Drosophila melanogaster: one gene and its partner. Each later gene encodes a partner of the first gene's protein in a complex. Each region holds a gene or a part of one and is shown in the gene's direction. Other genes may lie near its edges. The genes, in order: EndoG and EndoGI.

Region 1 (3,503 bases):
CTAGAGAAGGCGGCATTTTTAAATACCTTTCAAACTCATCCCACTGTTAGGAGAACTTTTTTAATCAGGGGATCATTTATTCAGGATCATTACTAAATTAGGCAAATGTAAGCCTATAAGCACGCCATTCCGGAGCACGGAATTTGGAATTCACTTCCAAATGACGAAAAAATAAATAAATAGAAAACGTCCATATGTTCAAAAATCCACCGTTCCTCCATCGACGCTAGGGTAGGGTAGTGTGCCCAAATCAATTGTTAAAAACTGTTCATTAAATGATTTGCTTCAAAGTAATAATTGAATGGGTTCAATTTAAAGAAAAACTCAAAATAAATTAAAATAATTCAAATACACTTATATTTCAACCAAAAAAAAAATTTATTAACAACTAAAGGAAAGGCGTTAATTTTTAGTATGTTTTGAGCTGAGGAACTTGGTAACACTGCAAGAAGCGACACGGCAGCAAAATAAATATCAATTCAGTTCATTGGTAATTCTTAGTTAAATACTCACAAATCAAAAATGGACAAGGTTGTCAAATTCGCCGAACCCGGACGCGCCTTCGCCAAGGACTCAATCCGCCTGGTGAAGCGCTGCACAAAACCCGACCGCAAGGAGTTCCAGAAAATCGCCATCGCCACCGCCGTGGGCTTCGCCATCATGGGCTTCATCGGCTTCTTCGTCAAGCTGATTCACATTCCCATTAACAACATCATCGTGGGATCCTAGAAAGCGGCAGGTGGCCCCCGGACCGGAAAGAGATTACATGTAGTTCACGATTCCACGCGCATCTTTAGCGAAATAAATGCCCCTTCTTCGGATTTTATACACACAATACAATGTAATATCTTTGGCTTGGGTTTGAGATAAGAAAGTCTGGTTATAAATTGGGTGCTTGGAGGGTGTGCTCAAAATGTTGTAAATATATTTCCGAATGCAACTAAGCCAAAATTCAACAAAATCTTAGCTTATCATTCAGCAACAAAATGGCATGTATTGTACTATTTCATTCATCTAGGTCGAGTTGCTTATTTTGAATCGTTCTTCCAATTGACAATGTTTATATTTTGTTATTTTAACATAGAGATGATTTAACATTAAATTCTACATTGTACAATGGCATGTATTTGGGTTCGCCTAATATTGCTTTAAAATTAGAAGATTTTAATTCTGTTATAAAAATCTTTCTTTAACCTTAAAAATAATTTTATATGTGTTGTATGCCTTTTTAAAATTACTGTTTTAGCCATCGTTTTGTTCTGCGACACAATTGCTTTTTCTTAAAAATTCCTAAACAAAGAAGCAACAATTTTTTTACAAAATATAAGCTAAATTTTATAAATTGATGGTCACACTTTTCCTTTTAAGTCGGGGATCGGTTATCGAATAAATTTTAAAACATGGCAGCGCCCACTAAGTTATTTGATTTTAAACGCGAATTTCTTACAACCTGCTACACGCCGAGTGTGTATTAGAGCACATAAGACGAGGGGATATCCAGCCCTGGAATTTTGAACTGCCACGACGAGTTATTCGAGCTCGGATATCTTGCTGTTCACGAAGCCCATCTATCTATATGGAATTGGTAAGTACCACCATTTGCGACTTGGGCTACGGTTAAAGCTCACACGTCGCCTTTTTAAGTTATTAATACATTAATGAAATATACATAGTATACTTACTTATTTTCCCAAGCAAATTTAGCAATCCGTGCATATATTTATGTCTTTCACTGTAGTTCGTTCGACCACTTTAAACTGTGGTCACACTAAAGTACCTGAATTGTGCAATAGCGGTCGCTATCTGGTCTTTTTGTCCAGATTTTTAAATAAAACTGCCAAAATGAGTGCTCCTCGAGTGGGTGGCGTATTAGCTTTGGGTGCCACCGCCCTGGGCGCCTTTTATCTGGGCACCCACGTGGAACGCGAACGCCAGCACAATGGCTCCACAAGTGGCCTTCCGCGGCTGCCTGGTCTGCCCACCTTTGGAACTGTTTCGGCTGCCAGTTTGATTCCCGCCCAAGAGAACAATGTAAGCTTGACGGCAACTCCGTCTCGGATCGGACAGATCATGAAGTATGGATTTCCCGGACTCGATCACGTGCGCTCCCATTCGGACTACGTGCTGTCTTACGATCGGAGGAACCGGGTGCCCCACTGGGTGTTCGAGCACCTTACGGCAGAGTCGGTGGCGAAGAACGATGCCGTGGACAGATCGAAGTGCGATTTCAAGCAGGACGAGAGCATCCATCCGTTCTTCAGGTCACAGAACACGGACTACCGACGATCGGGCTATGATCGCGGGCACATGGCCGCCGCTGGAAATCACCGACTGCACCAGAAGCACTGCGACGAAACCTTCTACCTATCGAACATGGCGCCACAGGTGGGCCAGGGCTTCAACCGGGATGCCTGGAACACGCTGGAGGCACACGTGCGCAGACTGACCAAGACCTACTCCAATGTGTACGTCTGTACGGGTCCACTGTACCTACCGCACAAGGAGGACGATGGGAAATCGTATGTCAAGTACGAGGTCATCGGCGCCAACACCGTGGCTGTTCCCACCCACTTCTACAAGGTTATTGTGGGCGAGTCCGCGGACCACAAACTCCACATGGAGTCGTACGTGATGCCCAATCAGGTGATCAGCAACGACACTCCCATCAGTGTGTTTCAGGTGCCGCCAGAGAGCGTGGAACGCTCGGCGGGATTGCTCTTCTTCGATCAAATCAATCGCAAGCAGCTAACCACCATCAATGGCAAGAAAGTCTAGTCGATGTCTTAGTTTCGTTTTAGTGTATTTGAACAGGGATAGCCCCTTGTTTAATGTAATTTTCTTCTTTTCCAAAGAACTTGTGGATTAATAAAATTAAACAATTAATACAGATGTACATAGAGATGAGGCTTGACGCGGGTGTTGTTCGTGAAGAGATAGCGAAGCGTGGGGATGTGAATCTGAAACTAGATCTGATGTATGATGCTGCTGCTGGGCGGTCGTTACATGCCGCCTTCGTTCTTGGAGCGCACGTCGTCGATCTTGAGTATCATCTTGACGAGCTGCGTGGAGAGCAGAATCTGCTGCTTCTTCGAGTGCAGCGACTCCACCACGTTATGGCTCTTCATGTCCGAATCACCCGACAGCATGCAGTCGACACCCAGGCTGGACTTCTTCTCGGCCACCTGTCTGGCCTTCAGCTCCGACAACGTCTCGATGGGATGCAGGCCGCTGTTCTCCGCCAGAGCCAGCGGAATGCTCTCCAGGGCCACGGAGAAGGCGCGGAAGGCGTACTGCTCCAGCGTGGACAGTTGGTCGGCCTCCTTGGCCACAGCCAACGAGCAGCTAATCTCGGCAGCTCCACCACCGTAAACAATACGCGAGTCCTTCACAAGCGAACGCACCACGCAGATGGCATCGTGAATCGATCGCTTAGCCTCCGCAATGATCATGGCGTTACCTCCACGCAAGAAGATGGTCACAGCCTTGGAGTTTTTGCACTCCTC
Region 2 (4,254 bases), on another chromosome or scaffold:
AATGAAACCGAAAGAGATTCTTTTCTTTCTTTTGTTTGTATTGCCGTGGCCGGGGCACTATCATTGAACTTGTTCAAGGACAAGAGACCCCAAACGGAAATAAAAGGGAGAGAGCACAAGAAATCTGACAAGAGAACCGGTTAAAAAATGGATATCGTTGGGATTTTCAACCACCGGTTGGCGTATAATTGATATTCCTTTGGTGCGTATGGGACAGTTTCAGTTGCCAGGTTCCATTTCTATACCGCTTATACCGCTTTCAATACCAATTGACGCAATTTGCTGATATCGATTAGCAAACAGTGCGATCAAGATAAACACAGGTGGAAAAAATGCGAAAATTCGAGATAACAGCAAATCACAGCCAAACCTTGTTGAGTAACAACTGATTGTAAAATTGAAAGCTATGAACGAAGGCAATCTTTTTGCACTACAACTTTGCTCCGTCCACATTTGTTCAGTATAAAATGCCAACTGATTTGGCTGTTTTGTTCTAAAAAAAACAATTTCTCTCGGCCATGTCTTTTGTTTACTGTTTGCTCTGCCGCTTTGATATGATATAAATCTGCTCGAAATGTCTTCAACAGATTAGATATTAGATTAGAATCTACGTGTATGTACCTAGCAAATGACGTATGAAGATGATAAAAACTGCCAAAAAAAATAAGAGAAATAAACTTTAACTGGTGCAGTGCAAAATAGTTTTGGTCCCGTCCTAGTTCCGTTCGGATGGTAAAACTGGGTCAGCTGACATTTATTTTCAACTGGCGAAGGCAGTTAACCAGGTAACTGGGTCGAATGAAAGTAAAATGCGTGAAGTTACCCATTTATTGAAGTATATGATTGTTGTGTATGATAACAAATGGGACATTACATTACTTTCCTTAACGTTTTTTATGCAAGCACAGCAGAATTTGCAATTCGATTAATTTGATTGCGAAGAAAAGAATATTATTCATAGCAATTACACAGATTTGTTGGTATTTTGAGAAGAATACATTTAAAAAGTTCACATTCATATTTATAAAAAACGTAAACACAATTAGTTTATAACATATTCTAGTTTTACAAGATGACAATTGTTTATAGTTTTTGCACAGACAAATAAAAATGTAACTGGTTGATATATACTAAAAAAAAATTTAAACAAATTCCAGAAACTATTTCTAATGCCAACATGTTTTTTAAGACTATTTTTCGAATAAAACAAACAAAATCCAGTTAGAAATTGTTTAAACGAAAAAAATTGAATGTAAATGCCAACGCACGCACACAAGCACACATACTTTGTGGCTCAGTAGTTGTGCGAGTGTTCGTTGACGTTCGAAACAATTTATGCAACAAAAATGTATTATTTAAAAACTTGCGGCTGTAGCCGATCCCCTGCCGCACTTACCACAATTGCCATACACATTTGAGTATAACTTTTGAAGCTTTTTCGTTGCTTTTCGTGCACGAGAAAATTGAATTCACGTCCACACGCACACACAGACGCACCGCGAGACTCTCACCGACACGAATTCCACGAATGCAATTGGCTGGTGTGTGTTGCCTTTTACGACACAACTATTGCTCTTATTGCAACTGTAAATTGATTGTATCTTTAGCTTAAGTGTTTTTTATTGAATAGGATTGTTAAACTTTGGTTTTTCAGCGACATTAACGCAAAATTCATCTGCAGCTTAACCTCAAATTTCTTTGTGTCTGTCACGCACACACACACACAAACACAGTCAGCACGGGGCGGAACCAATGGTATAAGATGAATCTATCAATTTGACATGAATTAATCGGGCGAAAATAATATCTGTAGTTTCCAGCACGGATTGCACAATTTTTTCTACCGATTTCCAAGAGCAAAGTACTTGTAATCGAAGTAGGCGTTGCGAACAATTCGCTCGTTTGTGTTGGTAGACACGGATGGTGATTATATTCGATAATCTCGAACACTCGATAGAGCCGATAGTATCGAGTGCAATTAAGTGTTAGATAAACATCGATTGCGGGCAGAATCGATACTTTTTTGTAATAATTTAATTACCTATTTTGCAATTGTCTTTTAAAAACAGTTTTTTTTATTTTAAATGTAAGATGTGATTTTAAAGGAAGTTGTACAATATATATACATATATATTTATTTATAAACCGACATAAAATATATAATATTTTCAATATGTCACATACTTTCTTTTCTTATTCATCCAATAAGTCGTCTTATTTTGATTCTTGGTCTGTCCTTCCGAGAATATTCCAATTAAAATTATTCTCTATTGAAAAGAACTACCCTACTATTTACATTCGTAGTATCGCAACAGCAAGCGGCGATCTGAATTAGTCATCTTATCTCTTTCCGACAGAAGTGACGATCAATAGCCCAACGATTTTAAACGCTTTACTTCGAAGAACCTTAAATCGCCAATTTATCCAGAGGGGAATGTCCAAGCGCAAGGCCGAGGACACACAATCCGACAAAATGGCAACGGCCGAGAAAGTAGCACAGGTAATAAGCAACAGCCATAGAAAATAAACAAAAATAGTTTACAAACAATAACAACTATTGTCTGGACAGAACGATTACACCATTGGCCTGGTGGATCCCGTTAAGGATTACCAAAAGCTTATCGAAACACGCGTGCAGGTAGACGAAATCGTGGATGATGATGTCACCAAGGAGAATTTCGATCGAACGGCTGCAGCGGCGCGTGACGTCATCTGGCGGCTGTTATTCGACGAGGCCGGTACCTCGCAATCGAACACAGAGAAGGCCAGCCAATTGCTGGAGGAATACCGTGGTGACGCCTGCTTCTACGACCCGACGCCGTACAACGAATGGATTGTCAAGCTGAGGGATGAGGTTCTAAAGAAGGAACTCCTCGACTTTTGGCGCGATGTGCTGGTGAAGAAGCAACTCGGTCCCTGTTGGTCACGCGACAGTGATCTCTTTGACAGCGACGACACCCCGCCATTGGAGTTCTATGCCCATGCCGGTTGTACCGCTCCATTTGCAGCCAGCTTAAAGGTGCGCGCAGCACTCGAGGAGCAGGCTTCGCTGGATCAGGATGGGCCAGCGACGCCTACAACTCCGGGTGAACTGAGTGCCGATGATGCCGCCGCTCTGTCTGGCGAATTTGAGGCCACCCTGACCAAGGAAAATCCGCTCGAGGAATACCGAACTCTAATGAAGCGCTTTGTTCTGACCAAAATCATCGTTCCGGACAGCGTTCACCAGGCCAGCGTGAAGAAGATAGCGGCAGCCGCCAGGGAGATAATCTGGAAGCTGCTCTTCGATGGCACACCCTCAGCGGAGGATCAAAACAAGGCCGCCGAGCTGCTGCAGGAGTACAAGGGTGATGCTGGTTTCTATGGGCCCGACGACTACAACAGTTGGATTTTCAATCTGAGGGATGAGGTTCTCACCAAAGAGCTTCTCGACTTTTGGCGCGACAAGATGGTGAAAATGGAACTTGGTCCCAGTTGCGCCCGCGATTCCGACTATTACGACAACGAGGATCCGCTGCCATTCGAGTTTTACGAAAAGGCTGGTTGCAAGGCTCCCTTTGAAGGACCTGTAAATGATGATTAGTAGTGCATCTTTCATGACTGAAGGATTGTTTCCTTATGTACTAAAACACCTATTCTGGTCGTAATCTCTGAAGGCACACACAGTAAAGCATTTCAATATCTGAATTATGTTTCGAAATGTTAGAAATTGTTTAAAAATGAATAAAATGATAAGTATTTTATAACTGTTCTCAAAAATAGTGGTCCTTTTTATTATCTCGATCAGTAACAAATTATTTGTTCTCTTCATATTTCTTCAATAGCTTAAAGCATTTAAAATTTTGTAATATATATAAACTATAATAGCATATAAATTAAGGAACATTTTTCTTCATTTGATTTAAAATTTGTATCACGAATTTTCTTGAAATATTTTATGAGTATTCTTACATCTCCTGTTCTAATTAAGCATTATGCATCCTAAAACTTTTAAATTGTGTATTAAATGATTGTTTTTAGATACTTTTAATAAAAGTTGACCGATGTAGGTGGAATCCACATAAATAGTTTCAGCATAGTTTGTATTCATACATAGACAATTTTCGTAATTTCCTTTGAAGTTCTTAAATCCAATGGTTAGATTATTATGCTTAAATACTAAAATAAAATATGAAATACTTTCTTAAGTTAACTTTTAAATTCCGAACACAAAAATGAACTTTAATTAATTTTGAAACTATTACATACACTGAC

The links.
Region 2: the proteins of EndoG (region 1) and EndoGI are in contact, whole or in part, in a crystal structure (PDB 3ISM), measured with the Drosophila melanogaster proteins. Residues at the interface, in NP_610737.1 of Drosophila melanogaster: Arg124 (codon at 2,212), Cys127 (codon at 2,221), Asp128 (codon at 2,224), Phe129 (codon at 2,227), Lys130 (codon at 2,230), Gln131 (codon at 2,233), Pro137 (codon at 2,251), Arg140 (codon at 2,260), Gln142 (codon at 2,266), Asn143 (codon at 2,269), Thr144 (codon at 2,272), Tyr146 (codon at 2,278), Arg147 (codon at 2,281), Arg148 (codon at 2,284), Asp152 (codon at 2,296), Arg153 (codon at 2,299), Phe173 (codon at 2,359), Gln184 (codon at 2,392), Asn187 (codon at 2,401), Arg188 (codon at 2,404), Asp189 (codon at 2,407), Asn192 (codon at 2,416), Ala196 (codon at 2,428), Arg199 (codon at 2,437), Ala235 (codon at 2,545), Asn271 (codon at 2,653); in NP_001260489.1 of Drosophila melanogaster: Gln45 (codon at 2,636), Val46 (codon at 2,639), Asp47 (codon at 2,642), Ile49 (codon at 2,648), Val50 (codon at 2,651), Asp52 (codon at 2,657), Lys56 (codon at 2,669), Glu94 (codon at 2,783), Gly97 (codon at 2,792), Asp98 (codon at 2,795), Phe101 (codon at 2,804), Tyr102 (codon at 2,807), Ser141 (codon at 2,924), Arg142 (codon at 2,927), Asp143 (codon at 2,930), Ser144 (codon at 2,933), Asp145 (codon at 2,936), Leu146 (codon at 2,939), Phe147 (codon at 2,942), Asp148 (codon at 2,945), Ser149 (codon at 2,948), Asp150 (codon at 2,951), Asp151 (codon at 2,954), Arg174 (codon at 3,023).

The regions. Positions count from the first base shown.
Region 1 is NT_033778.4:12,176,813-12,180,315, reverse strand, and holds EndoG (endonuclease G), read left to right. Parts: upstream 1-1,762; 5' UTR 1,763-1,842; coding exon 1,843-2,775; 3' UTR 2,776-2,886; downstream 2,887-3,503. Other genes in the region: CG8860 (uncharacterized protein), read left to right, coding at 523-729; CCT5 (chaperonin containing TCP1 subunit 5), read right to left, coding at 3,000-3,503.
Region 2 is NT_033779.5:16,255,680-16,259,933, forward strand, and holds EndoGI (endonuclease G inhibitor), read left to right. Parts: upstream 1-2,008; 5' UTR 2,009-2,086; intron 2,087-2,325; exon of another isoform or gene 2,326-2,357; 5' UTR 2,358-2,434; coding exon 2,435-2,500; intron 2,501-2,569; coding exon 2,570-3,583; 3' UTR 3,584-3,754; downstream 3,755-4,254.